2 linked regions of the Sus scrofa genome follow. Each later gene encodes a partner of the first gene's protein in a complex. Links are inferred from orthologs where the notes say so. Each region holds a gene or a part of one and is shown on either strand. Other genes may lie near its edges. The genes, in order: PTAR1 and RABGGTB.

Region 1 (3,820 bases):
TGAAAGATGTATTATGGACTTTGAACCTAAAGATGAAGAACACATAGTTAGCTATAGTTAGCCAAGAATAGCAAACAGTTCATGCAACTATGTAAATAAGAAAGGAAAGCAATATTGCACTAAAAGGGGAACCTTGCAGGACTAATCCACCTCTTTCATTGACTCAACGTAACCAGCCACTTCCTGTATGCATTGGCAAATCTGGCCTGCTCTACATTCCGGCAGGTGGACAATACTTGATCAATGAACCTGTGCTCCATTTCCAGGCCTAGGGAGTCTGGAGCTGGGGTCCGCTTCAGGCGTTTGGTTTCCTGGGAATAGCCTTGCTTGCTAGAGTCACTGAGTCCATCCACCTCCATTGCCTGAGATGTGTGGGGGCCTGCTGGGATGAGGTGCAAGTCACTCAAAGTCCCCCTAGGGCTGTCTGCAGGTGACAACTGGGTCATGCTGTGAGGAAACCTACTATTTAAGTGATGCTGAAGGTAGAAAATATGCCGCCTGTGAAACATAAGGAGGAGGAAGAGAAGAAAGGAGAAATCAGATTACAAGGTCAAGCTCTTCAGAAAAAACAAAAAAATAGTTGATAACTTCAAAGTATACAGTACTCAGTTCACTGCCCCATTCGTAACTCAGAGCTATCTGGGGGAAGGAGAAAAAAGTGTTAATACAGTTAATACAACCCCAAAGGTTTTTTAAAAAACAGTGACCCAGATGATGACAATCACCTGGAGTTGTTACTCTTTGTAATTATAATATGAAATGAGAAAAAGGTCTTAGTCCAATCTCTGGAATAAATTAAAATATAAAACAAAACCAAAAATTAACCTCAGTAATACCCTAAAAGACAAGTGATTTTCAGGAGTTCCCTTTGTGGTTCACCAAAAACAAATCTGACCAGTATCTATGAGGACAGAGGTTTGATCCCTGGCCTCAGTGGGTTAAGGATCTAGCATTGCTGTGGCTATGGAGCAGGCCAGCAGCTACAGCTTCGACTCAACCCCTAGCTTGGGAATCTCCATAAGCCGCGGGTGCGGCCCTGAAAAAAAAATAAAAATAAAAAATAAAAAAATAAAAGTGATTTTCAGAAATAAGAGGATTAAATAGCTCCTCTAAAGGGCTCAGTCGATGGCCTCTATCCATTACTTTCTTTAATAAGAACAGAACTGCTGCAGTTGGTCTTATTAACTAAAAACCCTAAATTTTTAGTTAATAAGGGTGATGAATTTTCCCCTAAAGCCATCACTGTAGTTTCATTAAACATCCACATGTGGTAGGGATGTACTGGGCTTTGAGAAAAGTATGTTAAAAGACACAGTTCCTGTTCCCCTTCTAAGGAGAGTTCTCCTATCCTTAGAATCATCTGGAGTGATTTGTTAAAAATGAAGATCCATGTGCTTAATCTCCAAATATTGTGACTATCTGGGTGCATATCTGCTGTACACAATGAGGTAAACTACATAGGCTCTAGGTATTATACCTCATTCATATTAGCAACTCTAAGCCCTTAAAAGAGAATTATATTCATTTTCTCAGCTTATTCTGGAGCAGACAAGGGAGTATATAATATAAAATATAACTATTTTACAGAGAATAAAATTTAAAGGACAGATAAGCTGCATAAAGGTACTGAATCAGTAGAAAAGTAGCCTGTATAATATTGGCATCCCAACTGTCTCTTCTCCCCCCTCCAAGCCCCAATTAATCTTTATGTGAACAAAAAGAAGTCTGTTCTAATAATCAAGTTATCCCTCAAACAAAAATATAATTTTTAATATTCTCTAAGCCTTGTCATTAATGTGTCTAAATATAAAATAGCAATAAAAATCTGCAACACCAAAATAACATACAAGTCAAGATTTATCTTCTCTACTAAAAGCGTGGATTAAGAGTGTCTTATTTTTAAGAGAAAAAGAAAATTCTGTATTTATTAAGGTGCCAAAGAGGGGAGACTGTCTTCCATCTTCTAATATATCTTCCAAATATATTTAGACTGGAAAAAGGGAATGAATCTCAATTAACTTTAAAAATAAACAATAAAATGCCTACCTCTGCCTAGCACAGGCAAGTCTTTTGCCTACAACAAAATCCTATGACCTGACATAAAATCTATCTATCTATCTATCTATCTATCTATCTATGCCAGAGATGCCTCCAACTAAATGATAAGCCCAAATAAACCTATCGGGGGGTTTGTATTCCTGGATTTCATTGACTTCAACATGGAAATTACTTTCAAATGTACTCAAAACTCAAGTCATGGGGTTGCTTACCCTCTTTTACTCCTTCCTAATAATCCTCATCCACTCTGAAAGTACACTTTACTCTAAAAAAAGTGTCAGGAGATTATATTTAAGGTAAGTTAATTTGAGGACAAGCAGCTTAACTGTTCAGAGTATAATCAATGGTCTCAAAACCCTTACATGCAACAGATTTATCTGTTTGGGATTTTCCTTTATTTTTAAAAAACAGAGGGCAGGACTCCATCCGAGATATGCTAAGTATCAATCAATCTCTAAGGAGGGAGTCCAGAAACTTTTTTTAGTTTGGAAAAAACACACGTTATTCTGTTGCAATCAGGGATGAATACCACCATCTTGAGCAGTGGGCATATTGATGATGACCAGGAGGAGGAGGATACACTCACACAAACTCCTCTGAATCACTCAAAGCACCACAATCATCAGATGACCATATTTATCCAAGTAGGCAGGAGTCAGATCTAAGACTTCTATAGCTCTCAAAAGGATACAGACAGTTTCATGCAGGAAACATATCTTCCCTTTTCTTACCTATGACACCAAAGGGTTTCATGTCCTGGGTAGGAATCAATAAGATCAGTGCTGAATTCAACTTCTTCTTCTAGAAGATGGGGAAGATTTATCCTTGATTCCTCTGCTGAAGCCACTGCTTCTTCACCTTTTGGAAGAACTATGCCTGGCTCACTTCTCAAAGGATTTTGCTCCGATATAGAACCATCTGTCACAGTTTGGCTAATCAAAGATTTTAATAAAAACTGGCGGTAGTGAAATCCACTGTGGTCTGAAACATGCATGGACGCCCAGTGTTTAGTAGAAGACAGTTCATCAAGAAGAATCTTGTTGGAAGAAAAACAGAAAATAAAATGAGGAATTGCCAAAGGTTTTATTTTCTCCATTAATGTTTTGCATTTCTCTTTGACTCATTCTTTGTTTTGACAACACCATTCCTACCTATATTTTTGTGTACAATCTCCAAGAGTGTTGTCAGAGAAAGCTCAGTAAATACCAGTTTTCCCTTTCCTTTATAAAGTAATGGATTTTTTTTTTAAATATCACAGAATTTAAGGTCCTTTCCTGGACCTTGATCAATCACATTCTGACTGGCACACACATAGAAAAGTCAGATCCTAAAATAATGATAGACATTTGGGTATTCATTTTCAAGTAATGCTTATGAAGGGAAAAATGTAAAATCAGGTCACTTTGATGGAAACTTCCTTTTGCATTTTATGAATCTGTACCATATCTAACTTACTATTTGTTCAACAACAGACTCAATATAATCATTTTTTCTTCACTGTAAGTGTCATCAGTGCAGAGACCATGTGTGTTTTGTTGACTACTTAATTCTAAGGGTTCAGTACAAAAACACGATGCATAAATAATAGGAATTTTCAAGTGATTGTCACTTTCACTATTTGTTGCAAACTTACTTAACATCAATGATAAATGGCTTTTTAAAGTAAAGACAAAATTCAGCAGTGAATTGTTTAAATCTTTGTAATATTAATCCTGCCCATTAAAGAATTTCAAATGGAATGATACAGGTTTTGATCAGAAAA
Region 2 (4,559 bases), on another chromosome or scaffold:
TGGCATATAGAAATTTCTGGGCCAGGGACCAAACCCACACTGGAGCGGGGACTCAAACTGCTGCAGTGACAAGGCCAGATCCTTAACCTGCTGTGCCATAAAGGAACTTTCAAGGAAGACTTTTTGTGGTCTTTTGTCTATTCAGGGTTGCACCTGCAGCATGTGGTGCTAGGGTCCAATTGGAGGTGTAACTGCTGGTCTACACCACAGCCACAGCAATGTCAGATCCAAGCCACATCTGTGACCTACACCACAGCTCACAGCAATGCAGGATCCTTAACACACTGAGCAAGGCCAGGGATCAAACCTGTGAACCCACAGATAGTAGACAGGTTTGTTAACCACTGAGCCACGACAGGAACTCCAAAGAAGAATTTTTCTGGGGGGAGGGGTCTTTTCTGGGGCCACACTGACAGCATATGGAGGTTCCTAGGCTAGGGGTCGAATCCAAGCTGTAGCTTCAGGCCTAGGCCAGAGCCACAGCAGTGCAAGATCTGAGCCATGTCTGCAGTCTACACCACAGCTCACGGCAATGCCGGATCCTCAACCCACTGAGCGAGGCCAGGGATCAAACCCACAACTTCATGGTTCCACTGAGCCATGACGGGAACTCCCAAGGAATAATTTTTAAGATAAAAATTATTAGGGCTAGAAACATCATCACTTAATGATAAGTGGCTTGACTCACCAGAAATAGATAGTTCTAAACTTAACATGCATTTAGTAATACATGTTATCCTAGCCTCAAACTATACCTGGGGATAGCAATTGAACTAAGAGAGAAATAATGAAATCTATCATCATAGTGGATTCAATATTTTCTCAGTTATTGATAGCTCACACATATCTCTGCGTAAGGAATTCTTCCCCAAATTCTTACTTTTCAGGTTTTTTTTTTTCGTCTTTTGAGGGCCACACCCTTGGCATATGGACGTTCCCACGTTAGGGGTCTAATTGGAGCCATAGCTGCCAGCCTACGCCACAGGCAAGCCAGATCCCAGCGGAGCAAGGTCTGCGACCTACACCACACCTCCAGTGGAGGCAACGCTGGATCCTTAACCCACTGAGCGAAGCCAGGCATATAATCCACAACCTCGTGGTTCCTAGTTGGGTTTGTTTCTGCTTCGCCATGATGGGAACTCCTGAAAAAAAAAAAAATTTAAGAGTAGGTGCCAGTATTTTCTGGTAGGTGCTCAAAATACTTTTAAGGATTAAAGTCCTAAGAAAGCACAGTTACAAATAGCTGCATTAACACACCTAGCAAAGCTGAATTCGATGGAAAGCTTATAAGAAGCATAACGGTGTTTCCTTTTCAAAAACAATCTCCAAATATTGCAAATATTAGAACTTCCTGAAAGAGGAGGGAGTAGGTGAGAGTTAGCTAATAAGAGCTGAATGTGAATATTTATTGCACACGTAATTACGGTGCAACTCTATTTATTACCAGGCATTTCAAAGATCCTCAACAATAAACGATTTCTTAAAAGTTATGCAGATATTTAAACATTACTTAAAACAGTTTTAGATAAAACGGCGGTGTTTAAGGGACAAGAAAACGGGCTTAGAGACTTTAAGCACAGGCAGCGAGGACAGCCATGAGCAGCCGATGGGGTCCTAGAGCAGCCTCGGGATCCCTCTTTCCTTCAGGCGGGAATGTGGTCACCTAAGTCTGGGCGCGGAGGGGACCTGAGAGACGCTTCTGGGCAGGCGCGTGCTGCCTAAATCCGCCCACGAAAGAGCCAAGTTCTCTTTTCGCTGTCAGACATGGTGAGTGTGGACGTGTATTGCATTGCTGTCCGGATGGCTCGGGAGGAGCCTGGGAAGGGTGATATTAAGCATTTTAGTCACCGGTGGGTTGTTTACTAAATATTGGAGAATGGTCGCGTTAAGATAGAGGTCTTGGGAGTATTTTTGAGAGCGGGAGAGAGGGTGAAGTATTATTCAGCGTTTTCTGCAGGCCTTGCATGCGTCGTTGCCGCCTCTGATTTTATTCAGACTTCCTGCTATCGGTCGGGCCTCCTGGTTCAACAACCGGATTTCTTAATTTCCTCCTAAAAACTGGGCAAGTCGGTAGTACCTTTTTCCTTCTATATGTAGGTTGAAGCATATATATATATATATATATATGTATGCGTTAGAATTATTATCCAATGTAATAAATGGAGTAATAAAATTAAAAAAGAATTATTTAAGATCTTTAGAATGATTAGCGGTACGATCTTGTTGACCTAGTAAATTTTAATGGGCAATGGGCTAGACAAGAAATTGACTATTATTTTTTTGTTTTGTTTTGTTTTCTTTTTAGGGCTGCATCCATGGCATAGGAAAGTTACCAGGCTAGGGGTCCAATCAGAACTGTAGCTGCTGGCTTATGATACAGCCACAGCAATGTGGGATCCAGGCCTAATCTGCGACCTACACAACTCGGAGCAGTGCCTGATCCCTAACCCAATGAGGAAGGCCAGAGATCGAACCCACATCCTCATGGATGCTAGTTGGATTCTTTCTGCTGAGCCACAACGGGAACTCTGAGAAATTCACTATTTTATTATTGATAACTGTTGTGACCTACTTCAAATAAAACAGTAAAGTACAGTCTTAGATATAGATCAGAAATGTGGATAACTAGAGCAGCATTCTCGTCCCTTGGGGACTTGTTGCATTTGGGGAAACAGGCTAAAGCTGGAGAAGGTGAGTCTAAAGGGACTGCTTCCTTGATAAATAACCTTTGAGGTATATGGAAGGTGCTTCGAAGTTCCCAGAATTTATACAATTTCTAGAGTTAAACTTCATTAAAGCACTTAACTCAAATTATGGAATAAATAGATTTTTATTTTATTTTGGTGTTCTGTGTGAAAGATAAAGACAGATGAAGGTAGTATTTTTGGGTCGATGATGAGCTGGCATGTATTCTGAATCTAAAGTTGATTAGTACTACTTTAGCTCTAGAATTACTCTGAGACCTGAAAAATACTTGGATCTTTATGAAGGACTTTAGTGCCTTGGTTTTTCTTGGCCAGATAATTTTAAATTGAAAGTTTTCATTTGGCAACACGAAATAAAAAGTTCAGATGTATATTGAACACATGCTCTGGGGTCAAATATTAAGAGATAACTTATGAAATCAATTTATTGTGGAAGGGTACACCGCAGAAGGATGTCATTATCAAGTCAGATGCACCTGACACCCTATTCCTGGAGAAGCATGCAGATTATATTGCATCCTATGGCTCAAAGAAAGATGATTACGTATGTATGCTTTTATGTTGAAAAGTTTATACTCTTAAAGATGTAGACCATTCTGTAAATAGATCAGTATGGACCATGTTGGTATCTAACTCCTGCGTGCCAAAGCCTGAAGCTGTATCCTTGAGTATAGTGAATGCACCTTTGGATATCTGTTGAGGGACCATGGGAATTAACCATGTTTCTTACTTTGGTAGGCAAAGTAGATTCCCATTCGGCCCAGATCTGTATGAATTATGAAGTACGGACTAGATTACTATTTTTGTAGTTTAGACAATATTTTCAAGGTCAATGATGTGTTGGCATGTATTACCTGAGTTTACAGTGATGTGTAGTAACACTAAAGCTCTAGAATTACTCTGAGACCTTGAAAAAGTTCAGCCCTGAAGAATGGCTTTCCAAGTTTTCCTCTCTGGGACAGTCTTAGAAAAAATTAATGAACAACTTAATTGGAAGTAGATATTTTACCGGTGTAACAGTGGCTGTAGGGCTTTGTGTGTTCAGTATCTAAGCTGGCATCAATTCAAACTAACACAGTAAAGTAATTCTATATTTTAGGAATACTGTATGTCTGAATATCTGAGAATGAGTGGAATCTATTGGGGTCTGACCGTAATGGATCTCATGGGACAACTACACCGTATGAATAGAGAAGAAATTTTGGCATTTATTAAGTCGTGTCAACACGAGTGTGGTGGAATAAGTGCTAGCATTGGACATGATCCGCATCTTTTATATACTCTTAGTGCTGTCCAGGTAAATACTAAAAACTAAGCAGCCATGATAGTTTATTCTCTTACCTGAGAGTGGGGAAATTGAAACTAGGTATTAGGAAGGTGAGAGAAACCAGTATCTTTTCATATGACATCTATTCTACAAGGTCAATGATGTGATGGCATGTATTAGCTGAACCCGAAGTTGATGTAACTCTAAAATTACACTGAGACCTTGGTAAAGTATTTATTTTCAGTATATGTAAATATTTGAGAAATCGTCAGTGGACGTGTTTTTGTTTTAAGCAAGAAAAATCTTTGTTTAAGCCATGGAACTCTGGTTTATTAGCATATTGTATCCTATCCTGAAAGATATAACCTAAGTCTTATAATAGAAACTAGCATTTCTCAAAGAAAGTAGTATTTTCTTTTTTTTTTTTTTGGTCTTTATAGGGTTACACCCACAGCATGTGGAGCTTCCCAGGCTAGGGGTCAAATTAGAGCTACAGCTTTCAGTCTACGGCACAGGTACAGCAACTTAGGATCTGAGTGACATCTGCCACCTATACCACAGCCCACGGCAACACCCGATCCTTAACC

Evidence for each region.
Region 2: the proteins of PTAR1 (region 1) and RABGGTB are in contact, whole or in part, in a crystal structure (PDB 6O60), measured with the Homo sapiens proteins. The link is inferred for Sus scrofa from reciprocal best matches to the Homo sapiens genes PTAR1 and RABGGTB. Residues at the interface, in NP_001093136.1 of Homo sapiens: Val61, Lys62, Leu65, Pro66, His69, Leu73, Arg76, Leu97, Asn98, Asp100, Phe101, Thr102, Thr103, Asn106, Lys109, Glu110, Leu113, Ile141, Arg144, Trp145, Pro192, Ser193, Tyr195, Ser199, Ile202, Trp203, Gln206, Val231, Ser232, His234; in NP_004573.2 of Homo sapiens: Lys6, Asp36, Tyr37, Cys40, Met41, Glu43, Tyr44, Ile89, Gly90, His91, Asp92, Asp136, Trp138, Glu140, Phe177, Asp178, Gly182, Cys183, Arg184, Pro185, Gly186, Ser187, Glu188, Ser189, His190, Gln193, Trp217, Glu221, Arg222, Pro225.

The regions. Positions count from the first base shown.
Region 1 is NC_010443.5:223,037,462-223,041,281, forward strand, and holds part of PTAR1 (protein prenyltransferase alpha subunit repeat-containing protein 1), read right to left. Parts: intron 3,095-3,820; coding exon 2,790-3,094; intron 499-2,789; coding exon 156-498; 3' UTR 1-155.
Region 2 is NC_010448.4:137,531,320-137,535,878, reverse strand, and holds the start of RABGGTB (geranylgeranyl transferase type-2 subunit beta), read left to right. Parts: upstream 1-1,746; 5' UTR 1,747-1,764; coding exon 1,765-1,767; intron 1,768-1,769; exon of another isoform or gene 1,770-1,850; intron 1,851-3,141; coding exon 3,142-3,249; intron 3,250-3,804; coding exon 3,805-4,002; intron 4,003-4,559. UniProt on the Homo sapiens protein: Catalyzes the transfer of a geranylgeranyl moiety from geranylgeranyl diphosphate to both cysteines of Rab proteins with the C-terminal sequence -XXCC, -XCXC and -CCXX, such as RAB1A, RAB3A, RAB5A and RAB7A.